Neurospora crassa OR74A: one gene and its partners. The protein of the gene in region 3 purifies or fractionates together with the protein of the main gene of each other region. This does not show direct contact. Links are inferred from orthologs where the notes say so. Each region holds a gene or a part of one and is shown on either strand. Other genes may lie near its edges.

Evidence for each region.
Region 1: the proteins of NCU00794 (region 3) and NCU05235 purify together in Saccharomyces cerevisiae (affinity purification with mass spectrometry; 3 studies listed by BioGRID). This does not show direct contact. The link is inferred for Neurospora crassa OR74A from reciprocal best matches to the Saccharomyces cerevisiae genes RSA4 and RLP24.
Region 2: the proteins of NCU00794 (region 3) and NCU05233 purify together in Saccharomyces cerevisiae (affinity purification with mass spectrometry; 5 studies listed by BioGRID, with this or other methods). This does not show direct contact. The link is inferred for Neurospora crassa OR74A from reciprocal best matches to the Saccharomyces cerevisiae genes RSA4 and NOP53.

The regions. Positions count from the first base shown.
Region 1 is NC_026504.1:5,664,059-5,667,602, forward strand, and holds NCU05235 (ribosome biogenesis protein RLP24), read left to right. Parts: upstream 1-1,396; 5' UTR 1,397-1,546; coding exon 1,547-1,622; intron 1,623-1,706; coding exon 1,707-2,311; 3' UTR 2,312-3,015; downstream 3,016-3,544. UniProt on the Saccharomyces cerevisiae protein: Involved in the biogenesis of the 60S ribosomal subunit. Ensures the docking of NOG1 to pre-60S ribosomal particles. Activates and recruits ATPase AFG2 to cytoplasmic pre-60S ribosomal particles.
Region 2 is NC_026504.1:5,668,559-5,672,186, reverse strand, and holds NCU05233 (60S ribosome subunit biogenesis protein NOP53), read right to left. Parts: upstream 2,381-3,628; 5' UTR 2,149-2,380; coding exon 1,997-2,148; intron 1,924-1,996; coding exon 717-1,923; 3' UTR 530-716; downstream 1-529. Other genes in the region: NCU05232 (AP-2 complex subunit beta), read left to right, coding at 1-207; NCU05234 (GTP-binding protein ryh1), read left to right, coding at 3,307-3,353, 3,450-3,475, 3,560-3,628. UniProt on the Saccharomyces cerevisiae protein: Late-acting factor in the nuclear maturation of 60S ribosomal subunits, which is required for normal acquisition of export competence. Required for the export of the large subunit.
Region 3 is NC_026501.1:7,141,658-7,146,045, forward strand, and holds NCU00794 (ribosome biogenesis protein Rsa4), read left to right. Parts: upstream 1-1,563; 5' UTR 1,564-1,714; coding exon 1,715-2,064; intron 2,065-2,124; coding exon 2,125-3,118; intron 3,119-3,183; coding exon 3,184-3,309; intron 3,310-3,374; coding exon 3,375-3,458; 3' UTR 3,459-4,161; downstream 4,162-4,388. Other genes in the region: NCU00795 (membrane bound cation transporter), read left to right, coding at 1-686. UniProt on the Saccharomyces cerevisiae protein: Involved in ribosome biogenesis. Required for processing and efficient intra-nuclear transport of pre-60S ribosomal subunits.

The DNA of each region.
Region 1 (3,544 bases), on a different chromosome or scaffold from region 3:
CTCGAGACCTGGAACCGTCTGGCTGAGGCATGGTGTAACCCAGGATTGAGCGGGGTAGGAGTGGCAGGCAATATCCAAAATCCAATCATCTCGAGTGGCTGGACGTCACTTTTGTATCACAGCGGCCCGTCTGTGAGTTCCGTCGTCTGATTCTGTGATGTCTAATGGCACCACGGAGCGAGGAGTGGTCCGGTGCGCGTGTGCTGTGGCTGGGGGAGGAAGCAGTAGGTGTTGGGTTTGTAATTTTGATCCTTTGTACATTTCAGTAGATACCAAGTTTGAGAAGGAAGATTACGGTGAACCGCATGGGATAATTACCGACAAGAAACTGGAAAGAGATAGCGACATCTTGACTTTCCTATACTTAGTGTACGGTTTGTATCAGGAAAGAACGATCTCGGGACCCTTACTGTCGCAGGGCAGGAGCTAGTCTGGTGGAGCCTCAGGGGAACCCGACTCCACTTTTGACGCTTTCCCCGGATTCCGTCCCCGCATCTTTGAGTTAGCGCTGTGGATCTGATGGGGCTCTCGGTCAGCACCCGACCCTCAACTCCGCTGTGAGTGAGATGAAAGGAGCACTGTGATTGGGGAAGGAGTGAGGAAAGTCCATTGCACTTCAAGTTCAATCTGAGAGACGGAGATGCGTTATATCAACCAAGTGTCAAGGAAGACCTCTTTTTGTGTAAAGCCTAAGTAGTCACCTTCAACAGACACTGGCCTACTGCCGACGGAGTTTCCATCACAGAAGGTCTTGATCATTGTGAGAAATGACAGACAATTCAAGATCCGATTTCGCCACAGTCTCCGAGAAGAACTTGACGCCTTCAGTTGTAACTCGAATAGATTCTTCAGACATGGTAAAAATTGCAGTCACGAACACCGATGATACCCGGTGTTGAACATTGTAGAGGGTGTCAGACTTTAATCGTTAGCAGTAACTGATGGGAAAGAAAGAGAGTGGAGCTAGCAATGTTAGGGTCCGCGAGAGTCCTGTTAACAGAAACCAATGCCATCTTGGTGACTGAACATTGTCGCGAAGCGAAAAGATCGTGAGCTCAAGAAGTATTGTTGGATGGATCGGGGAATATACTGATTTGGGAAAAGTAAACATGCCCGTCGACTTGAGCATCATGGCCATCGCTTGTCGAGAGAGCATCGAAAGTAAGCAGCCGCAATTGCCGGCCAACTTACATCGAGGAATCGATCATCGGGAACCATCATTGTCAAATCAAGAGAAAAGAACCGTCTGGGCTGGCGTATATGCACGCTCAACCCTAACCCGAGTCTTGTCGGCTGATAGCACGATAGCGCTAAGATAAGCCAAGCGTCCCCTCCGCCCCACTTTACTTTTCCAACACCGACATCCAGAAATTTTCAGAAGCGGCGCCCTTGACCGTTTCGCTGTTGTTGACTTTGTTGCTTGCTTCCCCCTCTCCTCCCCCCCCTCCCGAACAGACAACGAGCCCATCCTCACCCGGCTCGCTGCTTCTCTCCTCAACCACCACCACCACCACCACCACCACAACCACCCACATAACCCGTCAAGATGCGTGTCGATCCCTGTTTCTTTTGCGGCCGTCCGGCCTGGCCCTCCAAGGGCATTACCTTTATGCGTAACGATGGTATGTTTTTGTCATACTTCAGTTCCCCATCATCAACCTCTCCGTCAAGGCCAATTGCTAACCAGGGTACAACTAATGTTACAGGCAAGTCCTTCCGCTTCTGCCGCTCCAAATGCCACAAGAACTTCAAGATGAAGCGCAACCCCCGCAAGCTCAAGTGGACCAAGGCCTACCGCAAGAACGCCGGCAAGGAGATGGTGGTCGACAGCACCCTGCAGTTCGCCGCCCGCCGCAACGTGCCCGTCCGCTACGACCGCGAGCTCTTCGCCAAGACGGTCAAGGCCATGGAGCGTATCTCGGAGATCCGCCAGCGCCGCGAGCGCATCTTCTACAAGCGCCGCATGGCCGGCAAGCGCGCCCGCGAGGTCGCCGCCGCCCGCAAGCTCGTCGCCGAGAACGAGCACCTCCTCCCCCGCCTGCGCGGTTCCGAGAAGAGGAGGCTGGCCGAGCTCGCCCAGGAGACGGGCCAGGACGTCGAGGAGCTCGAGCGCGAGGAGCTGGCCAAGAAGGCTGCCAGCAAGAAGACCAAGGCGTTTGGCGGCGAGGTCAAGAGGCTCCGTGTCAGGACAGACGGCGGCGTGGAAGAGATCTCGGAGCGCGTCGCTGGTGGAGGCTTGGTCGATGAGGATGACGATGACGAGAACGATTTCGAGGACGTGGACGATGACGACGAGATGGATACCGACTGAGCGCCCGAGTCTCTGTAACTATTACTACCGCGACCACCACCACCGCCAACCACCACCACCACCATCACCAACACCGAAACCAGCCACCTCTTTTCTCGGGATCATTCGTTGTTTGCTTGTTTTCTTCGGACGAACTCGCTCCCGCGGCTGTCGATATCCCTATGCGGGGGAGGGTTCTGCTGTATTTTTTCGGCGGCCTTTCCTCGCCACTGAGACCTGCCTAGTTGACACCAGCAACAAAGCCCAACTACGACGAACGGGTCTTGGTGTATAAAGACGGAACGACCAGAAAGAGGACAGGACAGACAGCAATTGGTTGACCAACAGCCAATACTCTAACTGTAAAAACAGTAACTGTGGCTTTGGACAGACAGACAATCCTCCCCCCCGAGCGATGGCTGCTTTCGGGGCTTGCTTATACCCCTTGCTTGGTTGGTTGGTCGTTGGTCGCTACAGGTCATTGGAAAGATTCATTATATTCAGAACCATGGTTTTCAAGGGGGGGATCAATCAGTCTACCTTTAGTAGCAAAGCATATTTTCGGTTTTATTGGAATCGGCGAATTTGGCGTTTAATAGACACGGGGAGACCCACAATATGAAGTACTTGTTTGTTTTTTTCTTTCTGCCATGTCTTGTCTTGTTTTATAGTAGTAATCCTCAGTACTTTCTGACTCGACAAGTTACTCGTTTCTGTCTTCTGCCAACGTGACTGACCTCTGTAGCTCGAGACCTGACTAGGTATCCTAGCCAAGGATATATCCAAGGTCAATCTTGGACTACTACCCGTTCGTTGATTCCATCTTGCACTCAGTCGACAACACAACAACTCTAAACAACACCTAAAAGACACAGTTGGTTCAAGTCGGTAACTAAATACAAAGTATTATATCTTTTATCATTTGTATTATTATAAGCGTTAAGACCCGACAAAACCAAACCAACCCCTTCCTTCGCATGCTAATGCTCCGATCGCCTTGCTTTAGCCAGCCAGCCAAACCGTAAGCACAAAGCACAGCCAAGTTTCTCATTATAGTTTGCTTCCCCATTTGTCAGGTTGTCTAGCCCACCCACCTCTATTTCCCTCCCCCCACCCCCCATCATCATCATCATCAAGTTCCATCTCATTCTCTCATCATATATTTACCCCATTATATCGTTAACCTCGTTAACATCGTCAACATGATCATCATCCCCATTGCTGTCTTCATCCCCAGCCGTCACGGTTTCCCAA
Region 2 (3,628 bases), on a different chromosome or scaffold from region 3:
GCGGTCAATGATGCGGATGCGTACTTTGCGCAGCAGATGAGGCAGATGCAGATACAGCAGCCCGGCGACAGTTTTGGTGGGGATGCGGGACATTATGGGTATGGACAGGGGTACGTGGTCAGTCAGAGCTCGGCGTACCAGCCGGGGATGGGGGGGATGAATGGCATGGGAGGGATGAATGGGGCTCAGGGGGATTTGTTGTTGTGAGGGAGTGTGGTGTGAGGGGTGCCTAGCTCCGAATGGAAAGGGGGGATGGGATGGGAAGGGGTAAGAGTGGGAAGAGAGGAGAGACAAGGTAGTAATGTAATAGACAGACTAGGAGTTGGGGAAGCGTGGTGAGTGTGTGATTTGGTAGGGTGGTGGGAAAAGATATCCAGTTAGGGTTTTTGGTTGTAGATAATGCGAATAACAAGTAATATCCCGTCACTACGTATGTTCTGGTGTGTTAATGGGCGAGTGTGAAGACATTCATGTAATGTCATCTCACTACAAGACTTGAAAGACAAAAACGCGAGCATAGGACCACTTTGAATGTTCCAACCTTTTATTGCACTGAAGACCAAGTGAGAAAACCGTAAACGCCAATATACACATGACAAACGTACTACTAACAAAAACCAAAAGGGAATATTTTGTAGAAGGAAAAACAATTACCAAACAAATCCGAATATGTATATGTCCGTAAAGCCCCAAAACTTAAACCCAGCCGAGCCGCTTCAAGCCAGATTGAAATCCTTGAAAGTCCACTTCTCCGTGACCTTTGTCTTGGCCTGCTTTTTGAAGGGAATGTGCCTCCTCGCCTCCACCTTGCCTCTAAGCAACATATTCCTGTACCTGTCTTTCAACAAGTTACCCTCCGGCTTGAGCAACCTCAGCGAATCCTGCAGCTCATCCGGCAAGACCAGCTCCAGATCCTTCTCGGGCAACTTGAACTTGCCTAGTTGCCTACGGCGCAGCTCGACGTCGTCATCTTCTTCAAGGCTAGCATCGTCCTCTTCGACATTGTTGGATTCGGCTTTTTGGAGAGCAAGCTGCCTCTCCTTCTCGGCCAGTTCCTTGGCAATCTGCTTGACCCGCGCGGCCTCGGCCTCCCTCTTCTTGATGGCCGCCTCGTGCTTCAGACGCTGCTCCTCGGCCTTGCGGCGCTTGATCTTGTTGCGCTGGGCTTGCGTCTTGCGCTCCGGCCGCTTCTTCTTGTTGGCCAACCCTTCCGCGTCGCTCTCGGCCCCTTCCCAGGCGGAATCATCCTCCCATTCCGACAGCTCGGCGCGCTTCTCGGCGGCCTCGGCCTCGGCGCGCGACTTGGCGGCCGCTTCGGCCTTGAGACGCTCCTTCTCGAGTTCCTCCAGCCGCTTCCGTTCGGCCTCCTCGGCCTTGCGCAGCTCCTCCTGGTAGCGCTCCGAGTAGTCGGTGAAGGCGGGGTTGTACGACTTGTCGCCCTTGGGCTTGGGAACGGCGGGGAGCTGCTTGCCGGTGGCGGCGAGGGAGATGGGTTGTTGTGTGAGCGTCTTGGGCGCCTTGGGCTTCTCGACCTTGGGCAAAAAGTTGAACGTTTCCGCGGCCTGCTGCTTCTTTTTCTGCTCTTCCTCTGGGTCGGCCCAGGCGTCAAAGGTGGCGTCAACGACCTCAACCGTGGTGGTGTGGTGGCCGTCGGCAACGCGCTTCAGGCGACTGAGCTCCTTTTGGGTGACGTAGGTGGCCCGCAGGCGCTTGGAGGGCAGGACGCCGTCGGTGACCTTGCCGGAGGTTTCAGAAGCCGGGCGCTTCTTGAGGGAGACGGCGGGAACGGCGGAGCGCTGGGCGAGGATCTCGTCGGCCTTCAAGGGCTTCTTGAGTTGCTTGGGGAGCTTCTTGGTGATTTCGGTGTCGGGCTTGACGTCGATGGCGAAGAGTTCTTCGGAGGTCTTCTCGGCAATGACACCACTGTTATACGATAATTCATGTTAACCAATTGGTGTCTTTGGTAATACAAAGCATCACAGAAGGAGCGCCGTACCCCTTGATAATCTGGGCGTTCAACTCATCGAGACCCTGCTCGACCTCTGTCACGTCGACATTCTTCCTCCACGCCTTCTTGCCCTTTCTCGACGGTTGGTTGTATTGCTTGGGGGCTTCGGGATTGCCCGACAAGGGTTTTAGGACGGGCATTTTGGATATGTGATGTGATGGTGTGTTGTGTTGTTGGGTTGACGACTCGAAGAAATCAAACGAGTCGGCGGAGGTTCGAGGCAGATAAGAAATTGGAAATATTGATACCTCGAAACCGCCTGGAATTCTGGGGTCTCCTCTGCAATCAATCCGACTGCCCAGTGGGGTGTGCAACTCAAAATTTCAGCGGCGACAGGAGGCAGCGATAAGATAAGAAAGACCTGCCCGAGACAGGACAGGGAAGAGCAACTTCATGGAACACAAGCGTCCAGCGCTTCAGTTCCCTTCCCCAGCCGTGCTCAGCTGGCAGTTGGAGCAATTAGCCAATCAGACTTCCAAGCTGCCTCGGCCTCTGGACAAATCCAATGACGGCCGCCAAGCTTCCATTGGATGCCCGGTCTCGGTCGTTTTGGTCAAGTGAAGTGTCGAATTTGTCTGGGCGCAGAAAGGCGGCGGGCGGCCACTGTTTCCCTCCACTGATCGCTTGGCGCGGTCCCCTTTCTCTCGCATGAGTCCGCTTCGGGGAAGAAGACTGAATAATAGTCGCAAGAAACACTTTGTTGTTCGAACTTGAGGTTATGCATAAACAATGGATAAAAACATGTAAACTTGTACATACGTACATACGGAATGTCGGTCAATCAATTAATCTGTATCCAAACAAAATATTAAATGTTCAAGTATTTTCTGCTCTCTGTGGTATCAACTCTTATAAAACGATCTCTCGACCCGATTTTTGTTTGGTAAACGAAGACTCGACGGACTGCAAAGACCCCAGCAACCAAGTCGGCAACGAGACCCCGACTGGATCCCAAACACCGACCCGATTGTCCTCCAAGCTCCCTTGTCATCCACCCCCCGGCCACCACGCCCCGTCCGTCGCACCACTGAGACCACTCAACGCTGCATGATCAGTCTCCGGCAACTCTCCGCCGCCGTCCATCTTCCACTTCGACGACCAGCAGACACCTATCTAACTCTAGACCAACTCCGACCGCCTACACTACTAAGCTTTCTGCCACTTAACCACCACCACCTCCTCCAAAGTCCGAAAGCTTCCTCCCCTTGATCGTGTTTCCGAATACCTTCAGCTACCTACCTACCTACCTACCTACCTACCCCGCCAAATACCGTTAATCCGCAAACACATCCATCACAATGGCGCAAGCAGGCGGGTCATACAACAACCCCTTGAAGAAATTCAAGTAAGACAACATACCCGACACTTTTGCAGACAATGCACTTAAGTCAAATGGAAGACAAAACAAGACAAGATGCTAACCACTCTTTCTCCTCGCCAGGTTGGTCTTCTTGGGCGAACAAAGCGGTATGCGATTACCTCAACCTACAACACTTTCTCCACGATGTTCTCCGAGACACCAATGCTAACTCAACGATTGCGCGCAAACAGTCGGCAAGACGTCGCTCATCACACGCTTCATGTACGACTCGTTCGATAACATGTACCAAGCCACCATTG
Region 3 (4,388 bases):
ATGCACAAGGACAGCCACTGCGGCGTGTCCAGTCTATGCCGACTCGAACACAGAGGGCTGCGAGCAATCGACAGGCACCCGGCCAATTGCCGGTAGTAGTCCCCATTGTGGTTGACAGCACACCGGCCTCGCCTCGCAACAGTGAGGAAAAGCCAGCGGCCCAAGAGACAACAGAGGTCGAAGCCATGCCACAGAAAGCCGCCGTAATCCTTCTTCTGGCCTCGACCGGCTTGGTCGCCGTTTGTGCCGAGTTCATGGTGGACTCCATCGATGCAATCGTCGCCCGGGATGCCAATGCAACTACAGGCATCTCTGAAGCCTTCATCGGTCTAGTGCTCATCCCCATTGTAGGCAATGCAGCTGAACACATCACATCTGTGAGCGTGGCACTCAAGAACAAGATGGACTTGGCACTGGGCGTGGCACTGGGCAGCAGTATCCAGATTGCGCTGTTTGTGACGCCGGTAGTGGTTATCTTGGGCTGGATCATGGATCGAGACATGTCTCTCTACTTTACCCTCTTCGAGACTGTCTGCATGTTCGTTAGCACCTTCATTGTGAATTTTCTCGTTAGAGATGGGAGGAGTAACTACCTCGAGGGAGCACTTTTGGCATCTGCCTACCTCATTATCGCCGTGGCAGCGTTTTACTTGCCAAATCCAAGGTTGGCTAGCTCTGTTGGGTAAGGGTGAAGACAGAATTTAGGATGGGAGGTCGGAGTGTGTAGGCTACCTAGGTTCGGATGACAGATGAACGGTTATGGTTGAGGCCCAGACCGAAGGAGTAGTTTGTCTTGACTAAGGAGGTTTAGGCTTTTGCCAACAGCCATATCAGTAATTGTCGTAGCAGAGGCCGCATCAGATGCAGTATCAAAGCTAGTACCAGAGCCAGTGCCAGCCGTGACCGTACCCGACTTGGGACCAGCAGCAGCCGCAATACTTTGCAAGTGGCATTGGGAAAGCGAAAACCCGGGCAGCCTGGAATATCGGGACTGCCGGTCAATGAGAAGCGAGGGGAATGAGAAGTTTGGTCAATAAGTAGAGATAGTTGACGAGTATCCTGGTGAAGGGAATCCAGGGTATAGCGATTCCTCTGGACGTGGGCGATATTTGAGGGTCTGGGTCACCTAGACAAAGGGAGAGAAATGAATTTTTGTGCCTTGTGTAGTAGTATAGAGAAACAAAAAGGCGTCATGTCGGAACATGAATCCCCTCCGGAGGAGTCAAGAACAGCCGGGCGATGCTCATGCTGGGTTCATACATAGATGGGAGATCACGTAGGGTATACAGTATAACAGCTGTTGGGAAGCAGTGGTGACGACAAGTGGGAGTTGACTCGGAGTGTTGGAATGTTTGGAGATGGGATGATGATGACATGGGATGATGCCCGATGGTTCAAGTGGAAGGTTTGGATGCAGACGCACTAACAGCGCTAAATCGTAAACAGCCCTGGCCCAGCTTCGTGATGCCCCTGTGGAGACATGGGGAAAGCAAGTGTGGGTCAGAGCTCCATTGGAACTGGACATGCCAAGCCAGTTTTGCACGCCATCACCGCCAAAATTTTGGACTGTCCGCATTCTGCTGGGTCCAGCCTTTGCAGGGGCAGCAAGTCCAGTGCAAACCCAGAAGGCCCCCAATCCATCAACACTTCCTGGAAGTCGGGCGAGTATCGCAACACACTTTCAGCGACAACTTCTGGCACAACATAATCCAAGATGGCGACAGTACTACCACCCCCGTCGAAGCGCCAAAAGAGAGAGGAGATTGAGCGCACCACAACACAGCTCGATGTCGCCCCGATACTGGCGCCTGAGCTCGGCTCCTTCAAGGCCAACTTCGTCGACAGCGATGGCAACCAGATGACCGATGTCATCGAAATCAACTTTGCCGATGCCACCGAAAAGAACATCTCCGTCTTGCTCAACACCCTGCTCGAGAGGGACCGCGAAGAGTTCACCCCATACCGATTCCGCATCCATATTCCCGGCAAGGATATCATTGTCGACCAGTACCCTTCCGACCTCCTCGGCCTTCTCAAGCAGCATGGTGTCGAGAACCCCTTCGAGTATGCAAGACCCGGACACAGGAAGCCCAGCACGTAACTGCTTCGCTAACCTCCGCATAGAACCACAATTACTCTTAGTGCCGAGCCCCAGGCTGTTTTCAGGGTACAAGCAGTTTCGCGCCTTGCCCATCGCATTCCCGGTCACGGCCAACCCATCCTCGCAGCCCAGTTCTCGCCTATTTCATCCGGACGCCTTGCTACCGGCAGCGGCGACAACACAGCTCGTATTTGGGATACAAATACAGGTACCCCGAAGCACACATTGAAAGGGCACACCGGCTGGGTCCTCGGCGTCAGCTGGAGACCCGATGGAGAGCAACTAGCGACCTGCAGCATGGATGGCACAGTGAGGATATGGGATCCCGAGGCCGGCAAGCCCGTTGGTCAGCCTTTCAAGGGCCACGCCAAATGGGTGTTGATGACGGCGTGGCAGCCGTACCACTTGTGGAGAGACGGCACCCCTAGGATTGCCAGTGCTAGCAAGGATGGTACCTGTAGGATTTGGGTTGTCAACACAGGCCGTACCGAGCACGTCCTGAGCGGTCACAGGAGCTCCGTCGCCTGCGTGCGATGGGGTGGAACCGACCTCATCTACACGGGTTCGCACGATAAGGTTGTCCGGGTATTCGACGCCGTCAAGGGCACCTTGGTACACAGCTTGACATCTCACGCCCACTGGATCAACCATATTGGTTTGTCCAGCGACCACGCCCTGAGGACCGCCTACTTTGACCACACCAAGGACGTCCCTTCCACCGAGGAGGGCAGGAGGGAGAAGGCCAAGGAGCGTTTCGAGAGAGCGGCCAAGATCAATGGCAAGGTTGCTGAGCGCATCGTATCTGCCAGTGACGACTTTACCATGTACCTGTGGGACCCCACCAACAACGGTACCAAGCCCGTTGCTAGACTTTTGGGACACCAGAACAAGGTGAACCAGGTCCAATTCTCTCCCGATGGCACTTTGATCGCCTCGGTTGGTTGGGATAACAGCGTGAAGCTCTGGAATGCCAGGGATGGCAAGTTCCTCAAGAGCTTGAGGGGTCATGTTGCACCCGTGAGTTCCTTACCCACATTCATCTCTTACCACGAGGGGAAAGTTCTAACGCGTTGATACTTCAGGTCTACCAATGCTCCTGGTCCGCCGATAGCAGGCTTCTGATTACGGCTAGCAAAGATACTACCCTCAAGGCATGGAATGTGCGCACTGGCACTCTCGCCATGGACCTTCCCGGACACGAAGACGAGGTATGTGAACCAAATCACGGCGACATCGGTGTTCCCACTGCTGGAAAATTCTAACTCGCTTCCAGGTATACGCTGTGGACTGGTCGCCGGATGGCAAGATGGTAGGATCAGGCGGAAAGGATAAGGCCGTGAGGACATGGAGAAACTAAAGAAGAGGGCAAGAACGAACCTTACTCTCCTACAGCCAGCAGTCGGAACCCGAGAGCCCCCGCTCTACTTCACTCGCGGAGGCCTCAGCGGGGTGATATGACTTCTGGCCTGCTTCCGTGGTGTTTGCAGCAGTTTGCCGTTCGCACGAACGAGCCGGCTTGGGATACTACATGCCCAGGTATCTGCCAGAAACAACTTTCACGGCAATCTTCGCGAGCCAAGTTTCCTTGACGTCAGCCTAGCTACTAGTATCGGCTCACCAAAGAGGCCTTGCTGAGTCAATACGCAACACGGCTGCACACATCACCTCGACTCGCAGGGTGGTGATGTTGTGTGGCTGTTAAGTGCTTACCGACTGCGCCTCTGCCAAACTTTCCGAATCGCTGGGCAAGAGCGAAAGAGGCGATGGAATGGGCCTGGCAAATCGGTAAAATCTCCCGCCGCCAGTTCAATGTTACCAAACCGCGCGACCACACACCAAGACCAACAAGACGCTCGAAAGATTTGGAAAATGGAAAGCACCATAGATAGACAGAGACGTGGTCATGTTAAGCGATGTCCGGGGGTATCCATTTGAGGTTTGATAGATGCGAGCATTTGATGGAATGGTTCTCATTGCGCGCATCATGCAGGGCGTTACATAGGTGCCACGATATAGACAAGGATAGTGATATGCATTCATGGCAACCTAGAGAGACGTTGTTTAATCATGACGTTTGGAGCTAGTGAACCAGCCGTTGATGTTCAGAGTTACGAATATGTAACTTTCGAAGACGGCATATGATTCACTTTCCCGAAGCAACAGACCAGAGGTAGCAAGAACCACGCACACTGCAAGCCTTTTTTTTTCTTTTTTCTGAAGCATCCTTCGAAGGCCCGGACGGGAGCTGCCACTGGTCCTATGGGTCCCGGTCTGTAGCAGGCAAGAG